7 linked regions of the Xenopus tropicalis genome follow. The protein of the gene in region 5 purifies or fractionates together with the protein of the main gene of each other region. This does not show direct contact. Links are inferred from orthologs where the notes say so. Each region holds a gene or a part of one and is shown on either strand. Other genes may lie near its edges. The genes, in order: vps13b, dnajb1, bag2, stip1, dnajc7, bag5 and pld2.

Region 1 (4,224 bases), on a different chromosome or scaffold from region 5:
AGACAAACACCCATACTGTAAATGCAACAGTATGCATGTCAGTGCAGATCTCATTGGGGTTTGATAGCATCTGTATCTCAAGTCCAGGGATGGACTTGAGATACGAGTCTTTTTCGGCGATTTCCTGAAATCGCCCCGCCGCGTCTGCCATCCCGCCGGCGACTTACATGTTCGCTGGTGGGATGGCAGGGGTAGGCAACTCGGGGAGATTAGTCGCCCGCGAACAGGGAGTTTTGCCGCGGGCGACTAATCTCCCCGTGTGCCAGAGCCCTTAGGGTTAAGCAAAAGCAGTGGTCTATTATCACAGCAAATTTTACGACATGACCAAAGTTCATATCATGATTTAATATATCCCTTGTGAAAAATAAATCCCCAATCAGGAAATAATTACAGGCTTAATGATAAATATCCCCTGTGTTTCACAATGCAGTAGGCAGTTTTAATGTTTTTGTCACAGAAAATTGAGAGTTCCATTCTATGCAGAGATAATAATACAGGTAAAGAATCTATTTTCCGGCAAGCGTAGAACCTCGGAGTTCCAGTTATGGGCTCTTTCAAGAGTTTCAACCTTCCTTAAATCTACTAAATATCATATGTACATGAAAAAAAACCAATAGGATTGTTTTGCCACCGATATGGATTTATGCAGCGTAGTTAAGTACAAGCAACTGTTTTAAAGAGAAAAAGATCAACAGTAAAAATTAGAATTATTTGTGGATCCTATACCACTTATTTCTATATGTCCCTATCACATACACACACTATGGGCAATTTTTATCAGGAGCTTGTATGTTTGTGGGAGAAAAGAAAGGAAATTAGAGAATCATATTTGGGACCCAAGCAGTGCAAGACCTCTCACCACCATACTGCCTCTTTTTTTTTTATTTAAGCTTCAGCCACACCTGGCCTGGACTGGCACTCAAAATAGTCCCTGGCATTGCAAGTACATAGAGGCCCTAACAAACCCACACATGTCCAATAAATAGTGATTATCTGTGGCATCTTAGCAGGCTCTCTGGCCTTTGCCAGAATCCACAGATTGCCAGTCCGAGCCTGAGCCATACTGTGTTGGTGGGTTCTATATTAGACTTACCAATATTGAGGGAGCCTAAGAAGTTTGCCATAGAGTGCTGTGCTGAAGGAGGGGATCACTGGCACATGGGATGAACAAAGCCCTTTGCTGTCTATAGATATCAGTCCAGCTTGAAAGCCAAAGACCTGAAAAACACAGAAACTGATGCCAAGATGCACAAATATAGTACTTCAAACATTTGTGAACTGCAAAAATTTGGGGGGTTAGCATCATTATCAGATTATTATATTTAAAGAAATAAAATACAGGAAGAGACAGAACCAAAAAATTATGAGTTTTTAACCAATTTATAAAGATGGGGTGCCAACATTTACTTCCTGAAGCTAGCATGAAAATTAGATTTTATCCCGAATCAATAATCCCTCTCTCTCTTGAGAACAGAAGCAAAAACAAAAATGTTCAACATTTCTGCCATACTTCTTTGGTTAGGCTTTAGTTCTCCTTTATGCCTGCCATGCATGCACAGATTTGGCCTGTAAATTCAGCCTATTTCAGCTGCCATATTGCTGAGGATTTCCACATACCCACCAATAAAAAAAGTGGTCATACTTCCATGACACTGTTACTATTTAAAGCCACAGAGGCAATTCTGATGAGACAAGCTAGCTTCAGATTTACAAGCCAATTGTAGCCTATGGAAAATGATTTGTACTGATTTGGCAAGCCCCTTATAGATTTGCATTGCACTAAAATGTGCCCAATGCTTAACTTTTTTTCTGGGTTGTAGCAATTGTATCAAGTGTTATAGCTTGAAAGATACAATTCTGAAAAATTGGCACATTTCTTCAACGAATGTGCCAATTCGTTAAAACACTTTCCTAACTGTCAGGAAAATATTAATAAATGTGATAAAATTTGCGGCACTAGAAAGTCATTAGGGATTTTATATGAATTCTTATTATTGCTAGAAAATAAAAAGTTTTAATCTTCGTAAACTCTCTGCAAAGTACCAACTTAACGCAAAGATGCTAATTTTTTTGTATATGTGTCTGCGGTATAGACACAAGCACGCAAACATATATATGTGTATATAAACCAGTCAATGTTACATACCTTCAGATAGCAATGTGCATAGCAGTGGTGCAGCAGGTTATCCGACGGCTGGCTGAGGCTGCTTACAGTTTGTACAAGCTGTTCTGCATACATTGGCACTGAATGTTCAAAATTGATTTTGTCAGCGAGTATTTTGATGGCAGGCAGGGGCCGTATTGGCTGAAAACTTGTGTTTAACGTGGCAGGGCTGGCATGCTGAAGAGAAAGAGAAATAAAAATAATTTACTTTAGTTTCATTCTGCATGGGTAAGACACATCTACCTAAATGGGAGACTTTTATTAACAATGACAACTACATAGGAAAATGTTAAGTGCAACCTTCATATCCCACATTGCCAAATAAAATCAATGTCAGAATAACAGTTTACATTCCTTGGCTGAACACAAAATCTGCGGCAATAAAAAAAATCTGTCAAATATTTATATATCACATGGCAGCAGGTAAGGAAACTGTGCATAATTAAAGGGCCTGTAACACGCTCAAAACTTCCATGGGAAAAGCTAGCTGCCCCAGCTGGGGCTGAAGTGTGCCTACATTTCATTTGTTCTGTACAGAACAGACTAAGGGTGAAGACACATGGAGCTACTAGTAGCAGCTACTTGTCACAACTACTAAAATAGACAATGCTGATAATTGTCTCTACCTGTGTTTTAGCAGAGGCAATTTTCTGTATTGTCTATGACAGGATATTTCCCGTCGTTTAGTAGCCGTGCGTACATATAAATGAGTGTTGTGTGCACGTGATTATAAGCTGAATGCCCAATCCTGCCAAACAAGCAAACAGCAGCAATAAATTGATATGGACATGCAACCAGCTGCTCATACTACTATGAGACCACATATATGGTGGTGACTTTGGCACTTCAGCCTGAAGAATCTAGGTGCCTGGCAATTTGAATGCAGGCTATGTCAGCTCACTGCTCTAGTGAAGATAGTTACAGCCTTGTATCAATAAAACAACACAACAGAATGCTATGCAGGGCTCCCTTTGTGAAGATGTCCTCCACCACGTTCAATTCCCAGAAGTAAAAGAAGTCTGTGTCTGCATTGCAGCACCCCAGCACCATGTAGTTTGTGTTTCTCTCAGGAGCTACAGGCCATCTGGGCAGAAATATATTGTTATTGGCCTCAGCTGAGTTAAGTGAAGTGAAAGAATTTAAAATTAATTATGATCCTGAATGGTAAATACTTCCCTTATCGTGGCTGATTAGATAAATTTTTTTTGTAGGCCAAACTGCAATTTATGACTGTTAAATGTATAAAATCCCAGATTAAGCTTGCAGGAATTTACCTTTATAGTTGTGCCCACAAATCAAGTAATGGTTTTTCTACCAGAGATAATTTGTTCTGCTTGCAAAAGATCAAAAGGGGAAGGGAGCAAAGTAGCTGAAAGTGAATTTAAGAATGGGAAAAATGTAATCAACTAGTTAATTGTTTGGAAATTTCATGCGTCTTAATTAAATGCAACATATTTTCCAGTCATAACGTGTAAATAATACTGAGGTGATTTAAAGATTAGTAGAAAGATAATTTTCCTGATTATTGTACTGACATGGGCAACATTTTCTTATCCATATCACACTTGCCTCCAAAAGATACTACAGACAGTTTGCTCCGCTTATCAAGTAATCCAACATGGCCCCAGAACCAACACTGATCTTCACTGCTCTTCAGCCAACTGGGATTTAAGCCAAATATGCACTCAATTTAATTTCTATTACTTCTGACTGTTCTAGCCATACGTCATATGATCTGCTTATTTGGTGACCTCCTTTAGGAGAGATTCGGCTGAATACCAAACCGATTCCAAATCCTAGCATAGGGAAGGGTTAAAGAGAACTTCTGTGTTTATGTGATAAAAAGTCACATGATTTTAAGGCTTTTTGCTGAAAAATGCAGAATCTTGGCCAAATCCCAAACTGAATCCTGCATCCCTATTGTTATTGTTTTGGAAGTGTTTTGTATACTCTATCCGTCTATAAAATGCACCCAAACATAATCATATTCTTCTACTTTGTTTATTAATGAACACAAAGCAAAATCCATTGCAAGATCAGAAATCTTTTCTGTGTATTCT
Region 2 (4,874 bases), on a different chromosome or scaffold from region 5:
CAGCACAGTCAGTTATATAATAGCACCCTCTAGGAGTGGTGAGCATAGTCAGCTTATTTAGTAAGGGCAGCGCTAGCCCCATCAAAGGAGACTGTAAGGGTTTAGTCTAACCCAGGCTCTGTATGCCTTGCTGTAGGGACCACAGTTAAGACGCAGGATTCAGGCAGTTCCTCACCCTGAACCATAGTTGGCTGGAGGGGATCTGTTCCAGTAAAGGGCATCCATTCCTGGTATACAGCTAATACTCTGCATATCCTTTCAAGTGGGTTATACTGTTCCTTAAGGGTCACATCTGCTGTTATCCTCTGTGACCATTCAATCTGCTGTGTCTGTGAGTATAATCCCTGCGGCACTATTAAGTTGTGCCTTGTCCAATAAACTATTCTATTCTATCTGCACCACATAAGCTCTATCTAGTTGTAGTACAACTACACCCTCAGCTCCATTAGTACCTCCCATATAGCGGAGGCCCACTCCTGTGCATTAAGGTCGCATGTAACACATGCTCTATACCTATCACTAGCCTGGGTTTGGTCCTTAAATAGGCCAAATAGGTGTTACATATAGTATAAAAATGATGACAGTATCTCTTTAACTATCATTTTCCTCCCTAGAATAACCTAAACAAGGAGTGCCACAAAGCTCCTACTTCCTAATGGAAGTATCACACCCTACAGGGATATACCGTAGGTGCTGTGCCAGGCAGGGAGTGCCCAGCCAGGTGTGCTTGTTACACTAAAAAGCTTCAAAAAGGCCCAGGTTACATAGCAGAAAACAGATAATCTGTGCAGATTCCCATTGTATTTTATAGAGATTATATATTATCTGCTATGTAACCTGTGCCTTTTTTTCTATCTCTAATGGCCGCCCCTATGGCTACACAGCAGCTTTGTTTATATAAACTATAGGGGCAAAGACACATGGGGCGATTAGTTGCCGCGACTTTTTAGTATAATCCCTGCGGCACTATTAAGTTGTGCCTTGTCCAATAAACTTGTACTATAGTTCATGAGAAAGAACCTTTCTGGCGTCCATTATTCTATCTGCACCACATAAGCTCTATCTAGTTGTAGTACAACTACACCCTCAGCTCCATTAGTACCTCCCATATAGCGGAGGCCCACTCCTGTGCATTAAGGTCGCATGTAACACATGCTCTATACCTATCACTAGCCTGGGTTTGGTCCTTAAATAGGCCAAATAGGTGTTACATATAGTATAAAAATGATGACAGTATCTCTTTAACTATCATTTTCCTCCCTAGAATAACCTAAACAAGGAGTGCCACAAAGCTGCTGTGCTTCTGGGAAATGGATGTATGTTTACTAATAACCAGCTGGGCAGGTACCCAGTCAGGATAAGCAGCCCTGAGAATCAGTAGGCGTGGCTCTCACGGAAAAGCGATGCCTGACTGAGTCGCCTCTCCGCCAATCCTCTGCATGGGGGCGTGACCCTAATAATGTTTCCAGTGTCTGATTGGTCAGCTTGAGGGGGGGCGGACAGGCGACGTTGCCAGAGTACGGAAGAAAGATCTGGAAGGTTCTGGAGGTGGAGCTGCACCTACAAGAGAGGGGCCGAGAGTTGACAGGAGGAGCATACGGACAAGCGATTGGTGCTAAGGTACGTACTGCGGGACGGGATGGGGTATTGCTCTGTCTGTGGCTTCTGGCACATCTGTGCGTATAGCGCTGCCGGGCTGTTTGGGGATGTTCCATTTGCTGATGGGCAATAGGGGTGCCACTGATCGTTAGATAATGAGAAAGGAACAGAATGTGTCTGCATAGGGGATAATGGTGTGTCTGTTGTTAGGGGCCCTTCTGCCTTCTGTCAGTTACTCTCATAATTCTCCTAATATGAGGCAGTTACAGTAAAATCGGGACCAGTAATTCCCGGGTATACCTGCATATCTATAGGCTTAGGGAATGGGGCAGCTCATTGTTGTTTGGGGGGGGGAGTCTATATACCTGAATCAACCCATAATAACTAACTGGGGGGTACTCAAGGGGCAGCTGTACTTGGGTAGTGTAGTACAGGTATGGGATCCCTTATCTGGAAACCCGTTATGCAGAAAGATCCAAATTATGGAAAGCCTGTCTCCCATAGACTCCGTTATAATCAAACAATTCAGAATTTTAAAACTGATTCCCTTTTCTCTGTAATAATAAAACAGTACCTGTACTTGATCCCAACTAAGTTATAATTACCCCTTATTGGGGGCAGAACAGCCCTATTGGGTTTATTTAATGGTTAAATGATTCCCTTTTCTCTGTAATAATAAAACAGTACCTGTACTTGATCCCAACTAAGATATAATTACCCCTTATTGGGGGCAGAACAGCCCTATTGGGTTTATTTAATGGTTAAATGATTCCCTTTTCTCTGTAATAATAAAACAGTACCTGTACTTGATCCCAACTAAGATATAATTACCCCTTATTGGGGCAGAACAGCCCTATTAGGTTTATTTAATGGTTAAATGATTCCCTTTTCTCTGTAATAATAAAACAGTACCTGTACTTGATCCCAACTAAGATATAATTACCCCTTATTGGAGGCAAAACAATCCTATTGGGTTTAAAAAAATGTTTTATTGATTATTTAGTAGACTTAAGGTATAAAGATCCAAATTACGGAAAGACCCCATATCCGGAATACCCTTGGTCCTGAACATTCTGGATAATGGGTCCTATACCTGTACTGCTCAGCAGGGAGCCCATTGGCATTATTTCATTTGGGAAACTTGTGTAATACTATTATGTACTGGCCCCAAATAGTGGGATGAGCTGGTCTCCTTACTCTCTGTACAGCCCTGGAGTAACCTGTCACAATACCCTTTTTTGGCTGCTTACCCCTCTCAGCATCACTGCCAGAGGGGTATGGAGATCAAAGCTCAGCAACAATTGGATGGAAATCCCTGCATAGCCATAAATAATGTTTATATGTGAAGGGCCTGAGTGCTGGGGGCATAGCAGGATTGACAGAAAGCAAAATCAGCATTAATTGGTAGAAATATGGGCCCCACCCTAATGGAAGTATCACACCCTACAGGGATATACCGTAGGTGCTGTGCCAGGCAGGGAGTGCCCAGCCAGGTGTGCTTGTTACACTAAAAAGCTTCAAAAAGGCCCAGGTTACATAGCAGAAAACAGATAATCTGTGCAGATTCCCATTGTATTTTATAGAGATTATATATTATCTGCTATGTAACCTGTGCCTTTTTTTCTATCTCTAATGGCCGCCCCTATGGCTACACAGCAGCTTTGTTTATATAAACTATAGGGGCAAAGACACATGGGGCGATTAGTTGCCGCGACTTTTTAGTCATGGCAACTAATCTGCTTAGCGAAACCTCGTGAGTGATTAGTCACAGCGACTGCTATTCTATCCTATAGCAGAAGAGCTACTGCGATTAGTTGCCGCGACTGACTTAATTAAAAGTTGCGGCGACTAATCGCCCCGTGTGTCTTTCTAAACAAACACACAACTTTTACCTGCGCAGGGCAACAGTATATTATACTTTCATTACTTTTCAGTTGGTCTTCATTATTTATAGTTTTTGAATTATTTGCCTTCTTCTTCTTCTAACTCCTTGCAGCTTTTAAACGGGGGGGTCACTGACCCCGGCAGCCAACAAAAACTATTGCTCTGTGAAACTACAGTTTAATTGTTATTGTTACTTTTTAGTGCTTATTGTTCTCTTCCAAGTCCTCTCCTATTCATATATCAGTCTTTCATTTAAACAACACCATGGTTGCTTAGGTAATTTGGAGGCTAGAGACCAGATTGCTGCTGAAACTCCAAACGGGAGAGCTGCTGAACAAAAACTGAAATGATTAAAAAACTACAAATAATAAAAAAAAAATGCAGACCAACTGCAAATTGTCTCGGAAAATTACTCTCTTCATCATATTAAAAGTTAACTCAGCCTTGAACAACCCCTTTGTAACACTTTCATTTTTGTGGTGTTATTGCTACTGTGGGCACCCTTAGGGCCAAAGCACACAGAGCTACTTAGTAGCAGCTACTTGTCATGGCTACTAAACACCAGAAAATTAAATTCCTTGCCATAGACAATACTAAGAAATTGCCTCTGCTAAAATTCACGTAGAGACAATTATCAGTAAATGATCAGCATTGTCTATATTTGTAGCCACAACAAGAAGCTTTGTGTGTCTTAGCCCTTACTAGTAAGTTGCTAGTCTTGTACCACAACCCTGCAAGAAGAATCATGTAAATATAAGTATGTGGTTGCTATGGGTTACTGGCTAGGTATTTCCTATGTACCTGCATAACCCTGTTATTGTGCATTTCTGAAAATTGTGCGTCGTGTCAAGGATGTGTTTCCTTCTTTTACTTTCACTTTATTGGGCTTTTAGTTCTTGCTTTTAAGTTTGGTTTGCATGCAATGGCTGACCGATGTATATTACCTTTTTGCCTGCAGGTATCTTCATAGGGTAATAGAATACCTGCCAACATGGGGAAGGATTACTACAAAATCCTTGGAATCCCCAAAGGAGCGACGGAGGAAGAGATTAAGAAGGCGTACAGAAAGCAAGCTCTTAAATATCACCCAGATAAGAACAAGGACCCGGGAGCTGAGGATCGATTCAAAGAGATTGCGGAGGCCTACGATGTGCTCAGTGACCCTAAGAAGAGGGAAGTGTTTGATAAATATGGAGAAGAGGGTGAGTATGTGTAATATGGCTGGTTGTAAAAAGGCAATTGACTGATACAGGTATGGGATCCAATATCCAGAAACCCGTTATCCAGAAAGTTCCAAATTACGGAAAGGCCATGTCCCATAGACTCCATTATGAGCAAATCATTTTTATTTTATAAAATAATTTCCTTCTTCCCTGTAATAATAAAACAGT
Region 3 (3,439 bases), on a different chromosome or scaffold from region 5:
GTTTGAAAATCTTCCCTGTCAAAGTCAATGGGAAAATTGGGGTGTTCAGAGCGGCGCCACAAAAAGACGGGGGGCGGGATTGCTTAGAAAACCACAAGCAACCTGCTCCGCTATAGGGCGAAGAAGTGTGGAGAGATTTAGTGTTGTACCCCTAAAACTGTAGGAGGAGTAGCGTTTAGAAAATAAGGGGCACAAAGAAGAAGAAGAAAAAGCGGAAGAATACGCTGAATTCGAAGAACAGTATGTTCGGTTTTCAACCCAACATAATAATATAAAATAAGAAATATAGGTAAGACCCACAACCTGCAGGTTACCCGCTTTTCCTGACCTTCTGTAGGTGCAGCAGAGGATGAGAAGTAAAGAGAAGCCATAGCCACTGCAGTTCTGATAGTTTGCACTGTGTAACTTCACTAATGTATCTGTCTATTCTGGCCAAAAGCCAATCAGTCAGATAGCACCGGAGGTCAGACAGTGTATAGCCGCCTTAAGTTGCAAAATTCTGAAGGGGATATATTTTGTTCTAGTTCCTAAATTAAACCTTTGAAAATGGCCTCTGTAGCTCCAGGAATTTTGATTTATCAATTATATGCCCCTGCTTCTTTTTTTAAATGCATTACCTGTGCCAAACCGTTACTGGAACTTTTCACTGGCACTAGCTTGTTCTTAAAATCTTAAGACAACAGAAACATACAGTGCATTCCAAAAATTATCCAGACCCTTGGATCTTTCTCTTATCTCTGTTATTTGTATTTCAAAGCACTTGCACTTGTTAAGGAGTGATTTTGGCCCAGTCTTCAAAGCAGATTTGACCCAGGTTAAGTTATACTGAATAACATTTTGTGCACAGCAGTATTTGTTATTTAGTAAAATGAGATAATCGATCAATTTGTTAGTAAACTGCCGTATAGAACTATAGGTATTTAAAACTATATCTGTTGCAATTCAACACAAACCCAGGACGAATGATATGTGAACATTTAATTAAAGGTGAATTTAAATATGGTATCAGTAGATTTATACCATTTAAATGTCTATCTTCCTGTTTGCAGTTCTTGCAATATCCTTGCAAAAGAAAAAGTAGAGGGTCAGTCCGGAGATTTACAGGTTCTTGGTGTGAATCAAACTAAAAGCAGATTTCTGCCTCTGCTGCTCAAGCAACGTGATTGACTTCTCCGAGTTGTCTATATTCCGGATAAGGGTCTCCAGCCTTCTTTTTATTCTTTTTTGGTCCTCTATTGCACATCCAATAATTATGGACTGAAACTTCTGGTCTACTGGTCCTGCTGGAACTTCCGAGCTACAAGCTCCATACAGTCCCATTAACTGTTTCCTGCCATTTTCCAGGTTGTCCATGACTTTTTTCAAAATTTCATCAATAATCATGCTGGCCTGTTGTAGAGAGGATTCCTGTTGGGGGTTTCTAATGGTTTCTACAGCTACTGCAACAGTAAGGGTGCGGCCCATTAGACGTTCAGCTGTTACAAGTAGTTCTTCTCTCTCCCCTTTAAACAAAAGGCAAAATATACAAAGATTTAAGAATTTCATAGGATTTTTTAGAGCTTAAAGGAAATGTACAACCCCGACAAAAAATGTAATCAGTGAACAGTCTCTTTGAAATCATTAAATACCCGCTATTACGATTGTTCAAAGGTTAATTGTAAGGCTGATGCATCCCTTTACTTGGAATTTATTCACTCCTGTAACCCACTTGGCCCCCTCACTTAGGAACTGACTTTGGCTCTTGGCTTACTGAGCATGCTCAGTTTTTCTCAACTCAGGTTACCAAACACACCCTCCAGTCTAGCAGCCAATGAGGAGATGGCACAGCTGGATTTCCAGAGAAACTCGGCTCTAGCTCTGCACTCTGCTGGAGACACATTTTTCTTCTAACCTCCTTTCCTGAGCTCAGTTTACCCATTACAGTGCCCAATCCAAACAGGACTTTTTACCACAGGAAGTTCTACCTTTGTAAGTCTGCATTTTTATAGCACCCATGTGCTGTTTGCAGATGTAAATGTCACTGAAGATTTGTGAGAGCGAAAGTAGCTGCTGGGTGAAAGCTGCTATTTGTTACAGGAAAATGTGCTGGTGAATGGAGGGGGTATAGATATATAGATATTGTGAGAGAAATGCTGGGTCTTTTTTATTTACAATAGACTGGCATGGCGATGAGCTCTAATGTGGCCCCCTCATACGCCAATTTATATATGGACTCATTTGAGTCTGAATTTATCTATCCTCACTATATGGACAATGTATTGTTATACTGTAGAAATATTGACGATATCTTGATTCTATGGCGTGGGGGCCACATTGGAGTCAAAACGGTCGTTGCCAGTCTTAATACTCTTCCTACTCCTGTAAAATTTACTTCGAATTATGCTAAAGATATGATTGATTTTTTGGATGTTAGGATTTTTCGTACACCTATGGGAGTGGGTACTACTTTGTATCGTAAAGAGACATTGAAATACAGTACTCCATGCCCATAGTTTCCATCCTCCATCTGTGATTAAGTCCATTCCTTACACGCAATTCCTGAGAGTGTTTAGGATTAATACTGACTTTGCAACTGCATCACAGCAAGCCTATGAGATGTGTGACCGTTATGTCGAGAGGGGATACTCTTTGGATTTCCTCCACAGTGAAATGGAGAAGGCGATCAAGATGACACAGGATGACTTACCAAAAGCTTCACTAAACAAGACACAACTAGATCGGATGGTGTTTATTACTGACTATACACCAGGGAGTTACGGTGTTAATATGATACTTAAAAAGCATTGGCCCATTTTGCAGTTAGACTCTGGTCTACCATTTACCCATATGTCTCCTCCAGTGTATGCGTATCGCCGGGGTTGCTCGCTTAGAGACTTGCTGATGGTGACTGATTTGAAACATGAATCATCTGGAACGTGGCTGAAACCTGGTAAACCTGTATGTTTCAAATGCGGTGGTTGCAAAACGTGTGGCTGTTTAATCACAGGCACTACATTTGCTCTGCCCCACACTGGGAAAAAATTCTTGATACGGCATAGATTGACTTGTACCTTGGATCATGTCATCTATTGCATTATGTGCCCGTGTGGCTTTTACTATATAGGAAAATGTGTTACATCTTTCCCCACACAAATGAACAATCACAGATCAGTGATCCGTGCGGCTTTGGCTACTGGTAAGTCTGATATTCCACTTGCAAGGCACTTTACACAACAGAAACATTCGTTGCCCATGTTAAGGGCTAGTTTGATTGATCATATTCCCCCTTTATTGCGTGGTGGTGATTTCTAAACTACTACTACAAAGGGAGGCTCAATGGATTCGAAGGTTGGATACTATTGCTCCTCGTGGACTCTGACTCTGATATATAGTATATTATTCACTTCTCTAACTTTCCCACAATGGGAGATGGTTTGAGTATTTTGTTTTTCACTATCGG
Region 4 (4,708 bases), on a different chromosome or scaffold from region 5:
TACATTCTTGCCGGTGGGATGGCATGTTGGGGAGATTAGTAGCACGCAATAGTGAAGATTTATCACAGGTGACTAATCTCCCCATGTGACACTGCCCTAACAGAGGCATTGGTGATGTTAGGTCACTAGCCACACTTTGGATAAGGTCTGCTGGCTATGATAAAATAAATAAGGTCTTGACAGCAAAAGAGCGAGAAATGCTCATCTAGCTTACACTAGATTAGTCAAAGCTAATTGACTGCTATGGTTTACTGCACTGCTACTGCTAAAAACCTATGTTAGCCCTAAAGTATACAACACATATGGTTAAACTGATGGTTCCACAACAATGAGAATGACGTTCTGAGAAACTGTTCTCAACTTACGTGCCAAGATCAGATGGTTTGTTTTTCAACTGTTCAATCAGTTCTTTGTAACTGGGGTCACTCAGCAACGCACGGGTACGAGGATCAGACTCCAGTTTTTGGTATAAGTTTGGAGAGTTGAAGGGATTCATGAATTTTCTCTCTGAAGAGGAGTGGGGAAAACAGAGGGATCAGTGGGAACACTGTCTGGCTTCTTCATCTTATGGAAGAAACAGAAAATGTTATAGTACCTGCCAGCCTGGCCTCCATATTTTGCAGCCCTTCTTTCAGCTGTGCATTTGCTGGCTCGTGCCTCAGCCCCTCTTCATAAGTTTTCTTTGCTTCTTCAAAACGATTCAGAAATTCTAAAGCTGCTGCTTTCCTAGAGTAACCCTAATAGAAAGATAACAATAAGACACTTATAGATATACACAAATTATTACCAACAGGTTTACAGGTCACTACATATGCTTAGCTCTACAGCTCCCACCTTCCCCCAGTCTGGTTTCAGCTCCACGGTTTTGCCGCCATCTTCCAGTGCTTTGGTGAACTCTTTCTTTTTGGCAAAGGCTGCAGAACGATTGCTGTACAGGACGTGATTTTTAGGGTCAAGTTTGATGGCTTCGGTGTAGCATTTGACTGCTTCATCCAGATCCCCTGCTGAAAGTGCTTTGTTTCCTTTCTCTTTCAGTGCGTTTGCCTGATGGGAAAGAACAGGGACAACAATTTTGAAACATATACATAACGATATGTCATTTGTTATAATGAAAGTATGTACAAAGATATCAAATCTCTATGCCTTCCACTGCTGCTTAATTAACTCTTGCGCCACTGGTGCCTGGAACTAAATTGCTGCCACCCCCACTCTGACTCACTTTGGGCAGCGTGGGCTGAAAAGAAAATTGAAGGGAAGGGGAAAGCAGAATTTAAACATGTCATTGCCTCAAACTATGCCTTGCTAGGCACCCTTGGCTCAAATAGTACAAATAATAACATGCTCAACTGCAGGTTGAATATAAAAATAAGAGATATATACATAATACATAAAAAATATCTGGATCCCTGTGTACCTATAAAAAAAATAAATAAATAAAAAAATTCTTTTTTTGCCTAATCCTGCAACATGCATAAGAAAATAAAGGTTCAGTTCAGTAGAAAGGAACTGGTGACAAACATAAATAATAATAAAATATGCATGATATATTTCTGTTATAGCACAGGTTAATGTTCTACAGACATTTTTGTAGCTATAATTCCCACATCAGGGGATTCCCAGCCCTGTGTACCATTAGCCTAAAACTTGTGGCCCACGGCCATTTTATACACTACTGCCATACAGAGATAAAACAGCAGCAGGCTAATTGCCCTTCTACCTGTCACTGCTCTGAACAATGAGCTGCGATAGGCAGACAGGGGTATTTTGAATGCTGCTGTTGTTCACTAGATGACAACATCAAGCAAAACACCCCATATGCCCCTTGCCTAAGAGGAATAGGTAAGAGAAAGGACTCCAATTCAATTACCCTACTTATGCCCAGCTGTGCCAGCGCTACTTTCTTTTCCAGGAAACCAACTAAATGTAACATAAAAATTATCAAGCTGCATACTGTGAATCCCTCTCCATAACACTTGTAGACAAAGAGGCCAAAATACTGGGGCTCATTTAATAATGGTTTGGGTGCACCTGCATCTGAGGCATATTTGCTCTCTTAACTACCTCACACTGAATGCAGGCAGTGCTGAAGTCATGGTCAGGTCCTTACTTGCACCTACATGTGCTGATGGAGGGACAGAGTGCAAAGTAACAATAACACTGACTTGCATCTGTGCACCCTGCCACTGCATCTGTATATAAAATGACAAACTATTAATATGAAGATGTATATATTGCAAATGTGAAAGTTCATAGGAAAGATCAGATGGCAGGCTGGCCAAGCATGTAAAGTTGGTACATCGTCCTTTGCCATTGCTGTTCTATGGTTATCTTCTGACTACACACAACTGGAAATTTGTTTCTTTGGGCCAAACCGACCAAAATGGTTAAACCTGTCCAGTCTATAAAATGTCCAATAGCCATGGTACAAACATGTCTCTTCTAAATGCTACTTGGACACAAGGACTGGGAGGGAATTTGTACTAAGTCGTGTACTTACTGTCAATACCTTTAAGTTTATAGCCGTCTTAAGAACTGTAGTTCATTTCTACAGAACCCACCCTTCCTCTTTAATAATACTTGGGATTCTCTCTTACAGATTTCCCAGATGACTATGCCAATATAATTGCCTCAGTAAAAACTTTTATTCAAAGATGTAGACGTACACATACAATAGCATAAATCCAGATTAATCCAGATTTTTAAACGTTTTCCTTCAATATCTGTGTCCCATCAGAAACTATTCAATGTCCCATCACAATGCAAAAGTCTTATTTCTAAATTTTAGGGTAACCAAAAAATTATTTTGCTGTGGGACCCATGAACTTCTTACTACACCAGAGATCACCAGTAGCTGGTGGAGGGAGTTCCAAATAATGACAATTTTATTAGGTGAACAATACACAGTAAACCTTTAGAATAAATAAGAGTAGGGTTGATTAGCTAAGTTGCCTACCATATGGCTATACAGAAACCAGTGCAGTCTGCAGGCTGATGGTTTTACAGGCGTAAATCCCAAGGAGAAGCATGGAAACTAGAAACAAGGGTGAGCTATTGCCCCTATTGGAGAAACTGACAGACGTGGCATGAGATGGCAGAGACTGGCAGAAAAATAACTCCTGACGCCACAATGCCAGTACGGCTGGAAGCTGCAGTTCTGCAACTACTCTTGCACTGAATGCTATTGAGGGCAGTTACCAATCGTCTGAAAGGAAGAACAGCTATCCCACATAGCCCAGACCCTCACTCCATGACTTAATGACTGACCCACAAGTATAAATTCCCCGCAACTATGGAAAGCTTACTTGTCCCATAACGCGGAGCAAGTGTGTGGGTTAGCATTTATAATATCCCCATCACTCTTAACTAACAATTTGCCACTTACCGCCTCCATTGCAACCCTCTGATTCCGACCTCCCCACGCGTCTTCTCGAACCTACTAAACGATGACAGTTCAATTCCCGCCTACCGAGTGTGCAACTATTGGGCGAACATTTTAAGCTCCCTTCGCTGACAGGTCAATGCTGTTATCCATCACGTACCCACGCCCCTTGCTGACTCTCCCAGCAAGACTTCCTTGTCCTTGTTTTATCCCGCCCATTCACTACTTCTAAAGCCGATTGGCTGGCTGTAAGCTCACGCTTGGGGAGAAATTGGCTGGAGGATTCTGGAAGCTTCTACTACGCCAATTGGTTGCTACGAGGGCCTAGAGTTCTGATTGGTTTTAAGACCCCACTTGTTTCATTGAGGAAAAGTGATGTCACTTCCAACCAACAATGTGTTCGGTTGTACAGAGCTGCAGGGACACTACCAATACATCTCTCACATTTCTTATACTTACTTTTCTTGGCCCTAGCAGGGAATTTCATTTATACATAATAACCTCCATGGTCAGCAGTACTGAAAAGGTTCTGAATCCCTTTGTGAATACCTTTTTTCACTATGTTGTATCTTGTGGCTCAGATTCCAGGATCATCAGAACCCCAAGAAGAAGTACTAGTGAATTGTGAGCACACTAGGGGGCTGATTTACTAATCCACGAATCCGAATGAGAAAAATTCGGATTGGAAAATGAACATTTTGCGACTTTTTCGTATTTTTGCGATTTTTTTCGTCGCCATTACGACTTTTTCGTAAATTGTAGCGACTTTTTTATAACCATTATGACTTGCGTGAATTGTCGCAACTTTTTCATAGCCATTACAAATTTCGTGAATTGTCGAGACTTTTTCATAGCCATTATGACTTTCGTGAATTGTCGCGACTTTTTCATAGCCATTACGAATTTCGCAAATTGTCGCAACTTTTTCGTATTGAGCGCTCGAAAAATTTGCGACAATTCACGAAAAAGTCGCAAAATACCAATCATTACGAAAAAAACACATTCGGACGCTTTTCGGACGTTCGTGGATTAGTAAATGTACCCCTAGGTGTGCAAGGAAGGTAACTGAATTAATAGGCCAGTACCCTGACTAGACGCTCAAGTACAGTGATCCCCAACCAGTGGCTCAGGGACAACATGTTGCTCACCAACCCCTTGGATGTTGCTCTCAGTGCCCCCAAACCAGGGAGTTATTTTTGAATTCCTGACTTTGTGGCAAGTTTTGGTTGAATAAAGTCAAGATTTACTACCAAATAAAGCCCCCTGTAAGCTGATAGTGTGCATAGAGGCTGCCTAATAGCCAATCTTAGCCCTTATTTGGCTCCTCCA
Region 5 (4,224 bases):
TATCTTAGTCACTCTCTAAAACCACTCCCTGGTTTCTGATGTATGTATAGTAGATGGGGCTGAATAGAAAGATAAGTAATAAAAAACGATAAAAGAATTATAATGAAGACCAATTGAAAAGTTGCTTAGGATAGGCCATTCTATAACATACTAAAAGTTAAAGGTGATCTACCCCATTAAGCCACACACACACTGATCATAACTACTCAAACACTTTAGTTATCCTTCTGTGCTCTTAAAATATTCTTAAGCTATAAATGTTGGTGGGTTCTATATATATTATATATCCATCTATATCTATATATCCATCTATATCTATATATCCATCTATATCTATATATCCATCTATATCTATATATCCATCTATATCTATATATCCATCCATATCTATATATATCTATATCAGGGTTGGCATTTTCTACTCATACAACCAATGACAACACTATAAAATCCCCCTTTGCTGCCCACACTGAAGATCATTTGAAAGTTCCCTTGCTGCCACTTATCAGTTGATTCTTGCCCCACAACAATATTTCATATGAAAAAAAATGACTTTTTCTGTTTCCTCATAATTTGGCCCATCCCGGCAGGAGCAGAGCTTAAGGGGAGTAAAGCCCATGTCACTTCGGGACAATGGCAGACTCTCTGAAAGGGTCCATACACAGTGGCTGCCGGGCAGTAATGATCCCAGATAAACCATTGCCTGGTATTAGTTGATAGAAAATGAGCACATAAAGCGGTAAGTAAAATGCTCGCCTTTGCATTGACAGTGCCACGGTTACAGTACAGTTTTGCATTCGTTTTGATATTATTGGGGTCTATGCAGAGTGCCTCTGAGTAAAGTCTGTGAGCAAGGTCATAGTTGCCATCTTTAAACGCTTGGTTGCCTTCCTCTTTCTTAGCCTTCAGAGCCTTGGCATTCTGAAAAAGAAGTAGAGACCCTTTGTTACACATCTAAAAGAAATTAAAAAACCATATTATATCTGCATTTAATGCCAGAGAAAAACAAGTGAATACATTTTAATACAAAAACCCCTAACAATTCTAAGCAATTCTCAGTTTTGTCTACGGCAGGGGATTTTCCGGAATTTAGTAGCTGCTACTAGTAGCCCAGTGTGTCTTCACCCTAAAGGGAAAGCAGTCTCTGGACATGGATCTATAGGCTCAGCAGAAGCACAGGCTGACACTTATCTGGATCCCAACAAGTAGGAGATTAATAGCAGTTATTGTTGTATAAAATATATTTAAAAAAATATATATATATAGAATAATAATTTCTCACTGAGAATAAATTGTGTGGGATGGAACTGGAGGGCCCAGGCTGCTTTCCAGTTTTTAATTTTCTCGTTTTATTTAGTTTCTGTTCTCCAGGGTCCCACCTAACACCCTCTGTATGCTGTTCAACCCAACTCTCTCTCCTTGTCTGCATGTTTCTATCACTTAAGGATCAGAAAGAAAAACCAAAAGCCATATTATATATTTATCTGTAACCACGGCTTACTCTGTAAACTTACCCTACAGGCTAGACGGGCTTTCTGATGATCAGGGGCCATTTTCAAGGCCTGCACAAAGAACTGCACAGCTTTTTCAATGCAATCTTCATAGTAAAGACAGAGCCCCCGAACATATAGAGCATCTGCATTTGTGGCATCCATCCTTAGGATATCACTGAGGGGAGAAAGCGGGGGTCAGATAAGAACTAAACACAAAATAAAGGGAATTAATGAAGACCCACAAATAACAAGTCTTGTTCAAGCACATTAAGCCCACAAATACAAAACAATGACATACCCAAAGCAACGATAGCAAGCTTCTATTTAATTTTGTACGGATTCTTCAGCTTAAATACGTATTCAATTACTTATTGAAACGGACCTATACGTGCCTTGTAATAGCCAAATATTAATGAGCCCTAGTGAGGCACAATTCTTCTGAAAAAGCATTTAAGAGGAGTGACAAAAGCCACAAAACATTCGGCCGAATCTGAAAATAGTGGATTCTGGGACATGGCAGGGAAGGATGGAGGGGCTGTGCTAGCGACAAGTGAGGTTCGCTAAACGCAAACGCTTTAGATCTTCTGTAGGGGTGTAGGGGGAATACACCCAAACCCTCGGGATTTAGGAGAGCAGTTCGATTATTTGCCACCAACTTTGAAGTTTTTAAACAGGGATCACCGACCCCAGCACCCAAACAACTATTGCTCTGCGAGGCTTCAGTTTTTTATTGTTACTTTTTTTTTTTACTATTCAGGCCCTCTCCTATTCATATACTCTCATCCTAGCCACTCCCTGGTTGCTAAGGTAACTTGGACCCTAGCAACCAAAAAGCTGCTGAAACTCCAATCTGGAGAGCTGCAGAACTGTAAATGAAATAACCAAAAACACTACAAATAAAAAAATGAAGACCAATTGCAAATTGACTCTGAATATTACTCTTTACATTATATTAAAAATGAATGAAAAGTGGAACCCCCCCCCTTTAACCTGCAATCATATTGTACTGCTGCCACTCTTGATAACAGATAAATTTAATGGAGAAGATTTACTTACACAGGAGTAAATTGACACCAGTTCTGATCACGTGACTGCAAGCTAGATAGCGATAGTGACTGGGGCAATTTATCACTTGTGTAAAGCCCCCCATACACGGGCCGATTGTAGCTGCAGATATGGGTCCCTTAGACAGATTCGGCAGCTTATCGGCCCGTGTAGGGGCACTAACGACAGGACTGCCCGACCGATATCTGGCCTCCAATCGCCCAGATCTCGATCGGGCAGGTTAGAAAATCTAGTCGGATCGGGGACCGCATTGGCTCATTGATGTGTTCCCCGAACCAAGTTTGCCTATACCCGTTGTTCAGGGCCAAATGATTGAATTAGCCTGGATTCTCCCGATATCACGCACCCGTAGGTGGGGGATATCGGGAGAATATCTGCTTGCTTGGCGACATCGCCAAGTGAGCGGATCAGCCCGTGTATGGGGACCATTAGTCAAATCATCCCTAATCTCTCCAACAAGTCGTATTCCTACCTGGCCACAGACTGAGCATCTGGGTAGCGACCAAGAAGTGCTAGACATTCTGCCTTGAGGATTTTGAAGCGATGGCAAGCAGGGGCCAGCTCTAATGACCGATCCATGCAGAACACAACCTGTCGTATTGAGCACAAATATAGTAAAATAACGAAAATGCAACAAATACTAAAGGCAAGCCATTCCTTGGTTAATTACACAATTGTAATACTGTATTGATTTGCATACAATAATTAGTAATCTTTTCTTATATCAGCTGTGAATTAGGAGTTGACTCTCTAGATTTGCTTTACTATAGGCACAGTATTATATATAGTGTATAAAGTACCCCCTACTGTAATATATAGGGATATTATAAGTCACAGAGGGGTTCCTTATAATATATAGTGAATAAAGTACCCCCTACTGTATAATATAGGGATATTATAAGTCACAGAGGGGTTCCTTATAATATATAGTGAATAAAGTACCCCCTATTGTATAATGTAGGGATATTATAAGCCCCCGTGGAGTTCCTTATAATATATAGTGAATAAAGTACCCCCTATTGTAACATATAGGGATATTATAAGTCCCCGAGGAGTTCCTTATAATATATAGTGAATAAAGTACCCCCTATTGTAACATATAGGGATATTATAAGTCCCCGAGGAGTTCCTTATAATATATAGTGAATAAAGTACCCCCTATTGTAACATATAGGGATATTATATGTCCCCGAGGAGTTCCATGACCATAATAAGGGACGAGGCCTTATGCAGAGTGCATTTTTTACAGGTCATGGAACTCCGAGGTGACTTCTACTATCCTTATATTTTACAACAGGGGGTACTTTATTTATTATAATAGACAAGTTTTAGCAAGTCATGTGGCAGAAATTACATCACTAAGCATTTCCTGGCCACAACAGTTTTGTTTTCCCTCAACCAGAGTGAGGGCTCTAGAGAAGCAGGTAATTTATTGGCTCTAGAGAAGCAGGTAAATTTATGGGTTCTAGAGAAGCAGGTAATTTATGGGTCCTAGAGAAGCAGGTAAATTTATTGGCTCTAGAGAAGCAGGTAAATTTATGGGTTCTAGAGAAGCAGGTAATTTATGGGTCCTAGAGAAGCAGGTAAATTTATTGGCTCTAGAGAAGCAGGTAAATTTATTGGCTCTAGAGAAGCAGGTAATTTATGGGTCCTAGAGAAGCAGTGT
Region 6 (4,224 bases), on a different chromosome or scaffold from region 5:
TACAGTCTGTACAATTAGTACAGAGAAAAAGCAAATCATGTTCAAGTTTATGGGAGATAATTTGGAGCTTTCTGGATAACAGGTTTCTAGATAATAGATCCCATACCTGTATTATCATATTTGAAATTAATGTTGTATTCTTTTAATTTTTTTGGCCAAGAGCTTGTGCAAGATTTAATGCGATAAAATGTGAATTTTTGTATATCTTTTTTTAAAAAAAAACCTTATTCAATTTGAATTTTTTGCCCATTTTGAATAGCATGTGCTATGCTTTAAGAATGTTTTCGCTGTCTGTACAGAATTACGAGATGCACATTTTGGTTTGTGAAGCACATTCTCTAAATATATAATGACACAATGGTGCTGATTTATTAAAAAATGAGTTTAGAGCTTAATACATGAAAACCCACATTCACCCTTAATTTCTGTTTATTACTGGGTAAAAGTTAGAGTTCATCATTTGATAAACACACTTCTAAAAATCCCATAGGAATTAACAGAAATCAAGCTGAACTACATCTTTTAATTCTGCATGTGCTGCAATGTCTATTTTGTAATTAGATACCTTAAACGCAGCAGCCTTTTTACACTGAACAATATAATTAAAAATGTACATACTATTCACTTGTGTACATAACAATGACAATGTTGTACCCCCATCAAAAAAGACAGAACTTTTATTTAAGAATCAGCACAAAAATGAGAAGAGAGATACAACTAGAAATATGCCACTTATTGTTCCACTTGATAAAGTCAAACTGGGATATTTAGCATTAAACATTCTATAATTTTTCGCCATTGGTACATGAAAACAAAAACTGGCTAGCTTTTGACTGAAGCTTTGTTTTATGACAGATAATTGGCTTAGTAAAAACCCTATCTTGCAATGATAATGCAAGGATGAAACTGAGACATCTTTACAGCCATATTTAAAGTGCAAGCAAAGCGAAAGCAGTGTTTTTTTTAGTATTCCCATTCATCAGTTTTCATATCAAGATATCCAAGGATATTATTTGCAAGCTTCACAGCTTGTTTTCTTGCAGCCTTTGTACGGCCATCCTGTGAATCAATGGCATCAAGAGCCAGCAATTGTTTAGTAATAAATTCTTCTAATCTCATATAATTTTTATCAGCTCTCTTCCCATCAAAGAAGAGGACTTCCTTTTGAAGTTCAGATAAATGTCCAAAGACAGTCCATACAGCTATATAACATGGAGGCTCTGAGACTGTGTGTTCTGGTAAACTCTGGCGCTTTTCGAGAGCTTCTTTTAGATCAATGTAGGTGATGACAGTTTGGACCTCAACTACAGCTCGTCTTCTAGCTTCACGAATGCAAGGATTCCTCCCTACACTAACTTCATCCAAGCTAGCTATGAGGCCCTGCAGCTCTGACTTTGTACCCATATAGATGTCAGACATATGCTGCTGCACTTCTAAAAGACTGTTCTTTATTTTTGCTGCTTCTTTGCGAATCTCTTCTATTTTTACAATTGACTGGTTTTGGCCCAAGTCATAAGCACTTCCCAACTCAGCTTCATCCTCTAAATCCAAATATTTCAGCAAACTGTTGATTTCCTTAACAACTTCTTTGCGATACTCTCTTATGTCTGTGTGGCCAGAAACATCCAGAGCATCCAGGTTTGCAATTAATCCAGTAAGAGTGCAAGATAAATGCCTGTATGTTTCATTGTCATTGACGCCAGCTAGAAGAGCTATGAGACTGCATCTGGCTTTGTTCACATCACACATAATTGAGTTAATTTTAGAAACTGTTGGATGTGCCTCAGCAGAGAGAGGGAGAGAAAGTACTTGTTGTTTAGAAGAGCTTTCTAAAATTTCTTGAATGGCAAGAACTTTAGTTAAAGTTCGGTACCTAGCTTTTCTTAGAGGGATCTTTCCCTCGGTTTTTACTTGAGTAAGTCTTTTCAAAATATTCTGAATTCCTTCCTCAAATTCATCTGTTCTCTGACCTTCCCCACTAAATTGTGTAGTATGTAGCGCTACCAAACTCTGAGTTTCACTAAAGATCTTTTCGATCTCAAGTCTGCAAGGATGGGTTGCATTCTGCTCCAGTTCCTTTAAAACTCTTTCTGTCTCTTCAGTAGCTTTCTTTTGGGCTTGTAGAATGTTTCCTTTTCCCTCTGTCTCAATAGATTCTATTTCAAATAACTGTTTAGTTAAATCTTTTTCAAGCTTTTTATAAGTTGGGTCACTCTTTAGACCACTAAATGTCACCACTTGTTGTTCAATCTCTTTGACCTTCTTCTGTATTTCTTGAAGAGCTGTGACTGAAGCATGTTGATTACCCATATCCATACTCAATACAGCAATTTCTTAGAAGATACTGGTGCTAAAAAAAAAACCAAAAACAAAAAGGTAAAGATGCCATTCCTAAGACATGTTTATTTAAACAAAAAACAGGTATTGTCTAACCATTACATTACATTACATTTATTTATAAAGCGCCAACATATTCCGCAGCGCTGTACAATAAGTGGGTTACATACATTGGACATACAGAGTAACATATAAAGCAATCAATAACCGATACAAGAGGTGAAGAGGGCCCTGCCCAAAAGAGCTTACAACCATCTCTTCATCCATGTATATATACTGTATATATATATATATATATATATATATATATATATATATATACTGATTTGAATAATGTTGATTTGAATAAAACTTCTATATTTTCTTAAGACCTGTGAGTGCGGACTCTCTCTACAGCTACTCCATCTATTATTTTGGGACTGCACCCAGGCTCCCTTGGACCTACTTATACGTGAGTGCCTGTCTTCTTGCAACATGCTATATATATATATATATATATATATATATAATTGAAACCTATGCCCCACGCACTTCACTTAAAAACTGGAAGGATTTTTCTTAAACTGTTTTTAATAAAATAATGTTCTAGTTATACTTTTCTTTCTCCTCCTCTATCTCCAAAAATTCCTGCATAGAACTTAAGTATGAAACTATGTAGCTAAATTAAGTAGAAAACTGAATCCCGTTTAGCAGAAAGTACTGGCCATGATGCCCTCTTACACTTTTCCATGCTCACACAAATTTTGAGGCCAGTGCACACAGCACACCAGTGAATCTGGTGTGAAACATAAAGGGAAGATAATGCTAGTTAGTCAAAGTTTATACCAGTGCTGTCCAACTTCTGCGGTGCCGAGGGCCGGAATTTCTTTAGCATACACGGTGGAGGGCCGCTAATGGAAGCCAGTTTTGGCCACTCCCCTTTTTTTGAACCACACCTACTTCAAACCACACCCATTTTATCACAATGGTGGTAGTGCACCAAAAACCCAAATGCTTGGTCCTCACTGCGGGGATATCAACAGTTATTCATATGTGAAAGAATTATATTATGTCATATTAAGACACACCCTTAAATCCATATGCCTCCTCCTCCCCTGTGGATAGCACAGCAACCCCCAGCAACATAATTACACACCTTAGGGACCATTTAATGGCTGTTTCCAACTACTAACAAACTCCCAGAACAAACCCCTGCCAGGTTCACCTCTCACAGGCAGCATAGGGCAGGCAGAGTATGGCATACACAGACCTCCTCTGATGAAGCGCCACACGGTGCGAAACGCGTTAGGAGAGTGGGTAGCATTAGGCACTGGGATACCCCTGTCCTTTTTGGTATGATTTATATGTTAGTTTTTGTTGTATTTATTTAAGCCAATAAATGTTGTGGTTTTTATTCCATTTAAATTTTTTGTTGTTTATTCATATGGCATACACAGGCAGCACTCTGCCTCCCTTATGCTGTCTGTGTGTGCCATACTCTGCCTGCCCTATACTGCCTATGTGCCATACTATGCCTACCCTATGCTGCCTCTGTGTTCCATACCCTCCCTGCCCTATACTGCCTATGAGCCATACTTTGCCTACCCTATGCTGTCTGTGTGCCATATACACAAGCAGCATAGTCCAGGCACTACATACAATGTCTGAGGTGTGAACAGGGGAACAATGTGGATGATTACAGCCTGAGCCTGAGGTGTGAACACTGCAGGGGGTGAACAATGCAGAAACTAAAAGGAGTGAAAAACACAGGGGATTACATGTTTAAACAATACAGGGGGATTACAGCCTGAATCTCAGGTGAGAACCATGCAGGGGGCCAGTTAATCCCAGTACTGATACTATTTAAATCTTACACAAAGGTAAGCCATCAAAGCAGCCAGACAGGTG
Region 7 (4,162 bases), on a different chromosome or scaffold from region 5:
GTCCCCATTTATACTTTATGTTGTGTAGGTTCGGTACTCAGCAAATCTTTTGTAGAGTATCCAGTACTCAAAAATGATGGACTAAATTGCCATTGGTTGGAGAAGGGTATCGAATCATTTCGAAAACAGTAGCATTTTGATATAAATTCTCTCATTTAAGGTTGTTTTGTTTGGTAGTTCTGCATGTTTTTTAGAACAAAATAATAAATTCTGAAAGTTGAATTTATCCTTATTCGGCCAAATCCAGGCTTTTTTTAAAGATTCAGTTTCGGCCGAATTGAATCTGAATTAGCATAAATTTGCATATGCTAATTAGCATCAGGAAAGGGTTAAATGGTCAGGTGAAAAAAAATTTCAACGCGCGTAACCCCTTCCGATCCTAATTACCGTATATTAATTAGAATTCGGTTCGGGATTCGCCCAAATCCATCGAGTGGGTTCGGCCAAACCCTAAAAAGTTGGTTCCTAGCTTCTATGGGCAGATATACAGTAAAAACATTCAAATCTGACTTTTTACTGCAATTTTTACTTTTTAAAATTGTGAATTCGAATTTCCGAAAAACTGAATATTCAAGATTTCTTAGGAGCAAAAACCTAAATAAAAAAAAATCGCAGTCTAAAAGCTGGTGAGTTCATGTAAAAGCCAATGGGAGACGTCTTTTCAAAATTCCGTTCGAGTTGTTTTTTTAGTGATCGAGATTTGCGCACATTTGGGATATTAGAGTTTTTTTCTCATTTGGAAAAATGTTAAAATTCGATTTTTTTGAATTTAGAAAAAAAAGGAAAACAACGACATAAAAAGAAGTACAAAGTTTATTGACTACAAAGGTTCCCCTGTTTGTTTTGTTTTCCCCCCGGAGAGAGTGGTGCAAACCCCGTGCAGTAGCAGCCGGAGCCCCTACCATGGAAGACAAAATGAACTCTATATACTTGCATAGTCCATAAATAAAATGATCATGCAGCGCTGAAACGAGCGGACAATGCTACGCGCATGGTTCTGCAATAGAACAGTATTAGTGTATAGCGCCTATCAACGAGTACAGGATGTGCCACGTACGTTGTGGGTGCAGAACAGCACACAATGCTTTGGACGAATCCGAGGCCCTGGTTGAACCAAATTCAACCCTAGTGATCACATGACTTCTTAAACGATTATGTGATTTTGCTTGTGTGTTGAATTCAGTATTCGGCTAAATCTTAAAATGGTTGAATTGTGCATATCTACAACTGGTATTAGTACAGGATACAGTCTATGTAGAGTTAATATTAGTAGAGCTGGGGTTAGTACGTTATATGGAGTGTGTAGAGCCGGGAATAATACAGGATAGTGTGCGTAGGACTGGGATTAGGAACAGATACTGTGTAGGACTGGGAGTAGCACAGGATACTGTGTGTAGGGCTGGGAGTAGCACAGGATACTGTGTGTAGGGCTGGGAGTAGCACAGGATACTGTGTGTAGGGCTGGGAGTAGCACAGGATACTGTGTGTAGGGCTGGGAGTAGCACAGGATACTGTGTGTAGGGCTGGCAGTAGCACAGGGTACTGTGTGTAGGGCTGGGAGTAGCACAAGATACTGTGAGTAGGACTGGGATTGGGACAGGATACTGTGAAAAGGACTGGGAGTAGCACAGGATACTGTATGTAGGACTGGGAGTAGCACAAGATACTGTGTGTAGGACTGGGAGTAGCACAAGATACTGTGAGTAGGACTGGGAGTAGCACAAGATACCGTGAGTAGGACTGGGATTAGGACAGGATATGGTGTATGGGACTGGGATTATGACAGGATACTGTGAGTAGGACTGGGATTAGGACAGGATACTGTAAGTAGGACTGGGATTAGGACAGGATACTGTGAGTAGGACTGGGATTAGGACCGGATACTTTAAGTAGGACTGGGATTAGGACAGGATACTGTGAGTAGGACTGGGATTGGGACAGGATACTGTGAGTAGGACTGGGATTAGGACAGGATACTGCATATGTAGAGCTGGAATTAGTGCAGAATAGTTTGCATGTTGCACTGTAATTAGCAAAGGATATTGTGTGAGTAAAACTGGGATTAATACAGGATACTGTGTGTGTGGGACTGGGATTAATACAGGGTGTGTATCAGGGATTAGTGGCAGACAGTAACGGACATGGTGGCAATCAGTGGAGTATCTGAGAGCTGTAAAGGCTAGTGCAATACTCTGTGCAGTTTAGCGAGTAACATGGGTGCTGCTCTTGTTACTAGTCCAGCACCCTAAGGTGAGTCTAAAGAACAAAGTGCATTAGTCCAAGGTGCCGTGCCCAGGGCTCACGTCCAAACCTGAGAGGATATCAGGCCCTCCTTGCTGCTTAGAGGGGGAAGGAGATTCTCCCCAGACAGGAACTGTAGGGGGCATTCCACCAGGTGGCCCCTAATGCCAGTTAGTTGCTCCCGAGCTAGGCCAGGGTTTAGCGCTGCCAGGTTCTTTACGGCAGTGTACTCCTGCAGGGTACGGTTACTGGTCACGGCGTCGGCGGGGAGGCACCGGAACATCTAGTTGAGGAAAAGCCACAAAAGGAAATTAGGCAGTTCCAGAAGAGGAGCTTGTCTTTATCTTATCATTTTACTGGCCCACAGCTTGCATAACGGGATCCTTATAGGCCAATGGAATAACTCTGAGGGAGCACACAGCTCATCGCAAAATGGCGGCTCAAGGGAAAAGATGCTAAAGGGCAATATTTACTGATATATATATTCCAGTTTGGGGAGATTCTTTAATAGGCCACTTAACATAATATAAACTCTCTGTTGGTTACGTATTCATTCTGGGGGTATAGTTTTCCTTTAAATTGCCTCAATCTCGTAATAAGAATAAGAGAGGAGACCACCCAAACCAAGAATGCTCAATGTTATGAAACTCAACGCAACTTCAAGCCTTCTTAGCCAAGACACAACCTCTACAGCTATAGCAACTGCAAGGTTGCCATCCAACAGCCCAAGAACCTGACAAATTCTATTGTATACATTACACATCTATAGCTACACACGTCGACTCACAACTAAACCACTTTTTAGACACCATACCAGTTCCAGTTATATTATCATTTTTGTATTGCCAAATTTCAAAAGAAGAGATTGTCACCACCACTGGTTCCTTACTATCGAACAAAACACCTGGCTCTTATTGCCTACCCTCACACTGGTATAAGACCCTAACCCAGTGATCCCCAACCAGTGGCTCTGGGGCAACATATTGCTCACCACCCCCTTTGATGTTGCTCCCAAAGTAGGTGCCCATTTTAAAATTTCTAGCTTGGGGGCAAATTTTGGAAGCCCAGAGACTCAGTTTTCCTCCAAGCAGAGCCTCTTGCAGGCCAGCAGCCCACATGGGGCTACCCAATAGCCAATCACAGCCCTTATTTGACTTTTCAAAATAACTTTTTTTCATGCTTGCGTGGCTCTCACCCACACTTTTTACATCTGAGTGTGGCTCACAAGTACAAAAGGTTGGGGATCCCTGCCCTAACCAAACATATCTCTCCGAAACCCTCCAGCAAACACAGGATACTCTGTTGTTACCAACATCTGTCTCCATACCGTTAATAAGTCGCTATCATCTCTCAAATTCTAGCCAGTAGACTGCAGCAATTGGTGCAAGATATAATTCACCCTGACCAATCTGGATTTATGTCTGGCTGCTCATCAAACATCTTTGCAGACTATTCATCAACCTACACTTGTTCCTCAGAAAAAAAAAGCTCTAGAAATGTGCTCTCAATTCTCTAATTCGTTGGAATGGAGTCACCTCTAGGAAGACCTAGTGAACGGAACTACTTCTCCGTTTTCCCTTACCAGAGGAATAAGACAGGGTTACCCTCTGTCCCTGTACCCTTTGCCAGCGCATTATACCCATTAGCCACACAAATAAGACACATTAAAGGTCTGACATATGGCACTGCACTTAAAAAAGTATCCTGATATCCCTGAAGGCTTGGAGAATATTAACAGCATCATATAAAATGGAGGTTTAGCATTTCCAAGTCTCCATAATCATTACTTGGCATCACAATTGTACTATATATATAATCCTGCTTCCACCCAAATCCCTACAATTAAAACGTACTTCATCGTGCCCTGAGGATGGAATCAGTTGAGAGCTTATCCAATGTCCCATATCATTAACTTGTGGAT

What was found.
Region 1: the proteins of dnajc7 (region 5) and vps13b purify together in Homo sapiens (co-immunoprecipitation; 3 studies listed by BioGRID and IntAct, counting the BioPlex papers as one, with this or other methods). This does not show direct contact. The link is inferred for Xenopus tropicalis from reciprocal best matches to the Homo sapiens genes DNAJC7 and VPS13B.
Region 2: the proteins of dnajc7 (region 5) and dnajb1 purify together in Homo sapiens (affinity purification with mass spectrometry; 3 studies listed by BioGRID and IntAct, with this or other methods). This does not show direct contact. The link is inferred for Xenopus tropicalis from reciprocal best matches to the Homo sapiens genes DNAJC7 and DNAJB1.
Region 3: the proteins of dnajc7 (region 5) and bag2 purify together in Homo sapiens (affinity purification with mass spectrometry; 7 studies listed by BioGRID and IntAct, with this or other methods). This does not show direct contact. The link is inferred for Xenopus tropicalis from reciprocal best matches to the Homo sapiens genes DNAJC7 and BAG2.
Region 4: the proteins of dnajc7 (region 5) and stip1 purify together in Homo sapiens (affinity purification with mass spectrometry; 4 studies listed by BioGRID and IntAct, with this or other methods). This does not show direct contact. The link is inferred for Xenopus tropicalis from reciprocal best matches to the Homo sapiens genes DNAJC7 and STIP1.
Region 6: the proteins of dnajc7 (region 5) and bag5 purify together in Homo sapiens (affinity purification with mass spectrometry; 4 studies listed by BioGRID and IntAct, with this or other methods). This does not show direct contact. The link is inferred for Xenopus tropicalis from reciprocal best matches to the Homo sapiens genes DNAJC7 and BAG5.
Region 7: the proteins of dnajc7 (region 5) and pld2 purify together in Homo sapiens (affinity purification with mass spectrometry; 3 studies listed by BioGRID and IntAct, counting the BioPlex papers as one, with this or other methods). This does not show direct contact. The link is inferred for Xenopus tropicalis from reciprocal best matches to the Homo sapiens genes DNAJC7 and PLD2.

The regions. Positions count from the first base shown.
Region 1 is NC_030682.2:128,808,314-128,812,537, forward strand, and holds part of vps13b (vacuolar protein sorting-associated protein 13B), read right to left. Parts: intron 2,342-4,224; coding exon 2,147-2,341; intron 1,219-2,146; coding exon 1,094-1,218; intron 1-1,093. UniProt on the Homo sapiens protein: Mediates the transfer of lipids between membranes at organelle contact sites. Binds phosphatidylinositol 3-phosphate. Functions as a tethering factor in the slow endocytic recycling pathway, to assist traffic between early and recycling endosomes.
Region 2 is NC_030679.2:134,723,866-134,728,739, reverse strand, and holds the start of dnajb1 (dnaJ homolog subfamily B member 1), read left to right. Parts: upstream 1-1,573; 5' UTR 1,574-1,620; intron 1,621-4,441; 5' UTR 4,442-4,474; coding exon 4,475-4,685; intron 4,686-4,874. UniProt on the Homo sapiens protein: Interacts with HSP70 and can stimulate its ATPase activity. Stimulates the association between HSC70 and HIP. Negatively regulates heat shock-induced HSF1 transcriptional activity during the attenuation and recovery phase period of the heat shock response.
Region 3 is NC_030681.2:95,351,689-95,355,127, reverse strand, and holds the end of bag2 (BAG family molecular chaperone regulator 2), read right to left. Parts: intron 1,503-3,439; coding exon 1,099-1,502; 3' UTR 962-1,098; downstream 1-961. UniProt on the Homo sapiens protein: Co-chaperone for HSP70 and HSC70 chaperone proteins. Acts as a nucleotide-exchange factor (NEF) promoting the release of ADP from the HSP70 and HSC70 proteins thereby triggering client/substrate protein release.
Region 4 is NC_030680.2:35,679,972-35,684,679, forward strand, and holds the start of stip1 (stress-induced-phosphoprotein 1), read right to left. Parts: upstream 3,398-4,708; 5' UTR 3,392-3,397; coding exon 3,383-3,391; intron 1,045-3,382; coding exon 835-1,044; intron 738-834; coding exon 596-737; intron 508-595; coding exon 366-507; intron 1-365. UniProt on the Homo sapiens protein: Acts as a co-chaperone for HSP90AA1. Mediates the association of the molecular chaperones HSPA8/HSC70 and HSP90.
Region 5 is NC_030686.2:7,162,723-7,166,946, reverse strand, and holds part of dnajc7 (dnaJ homolog subfamily C member 7), read right to left. Parts: intron 3,150-4,224; coding exon 3,031-3,149; intron 1,669-3,030; coding exon 1,515-1,668; intron 922-1,514; coding exon 757-921; intron 1-756. UniProt on the Homo sapiens protein: Acts as a co-chaperone regulating the molecular chaperones HSP70 and HSP90 in folding of steroid receptors, such as the glucocorticoid receptor and the progesterone receptor.
Region 6 is NC_030684.2:98,469,288-98,473,511, forward strand, and holds bag5 (BAG family molecular chaperone regulator 5), read right to left. Parts: upstream 2,351-4,224; 5' UTR 2,317-2,350; coding exon 964-2,316; 3' UTR 662-963; downstream 1-661. UniProt on the Homo sapiens protein: Co-chaperone for HSP/HSP70 proteins. It functions as a nucleotide-exchange factor promoting the release of ADP from HSP70, thereby activating HSP70-mediated protein refolding.
Region 7 is NC_030679.2:148,026,066-148,030,227, forward strand, and holds the end of pld2 (phospholipase D2), read right to left. Parts: intron 2,525-4,162; coding exon 2,300-2,524; 3' UTR 796-2,299; downstream 1-795.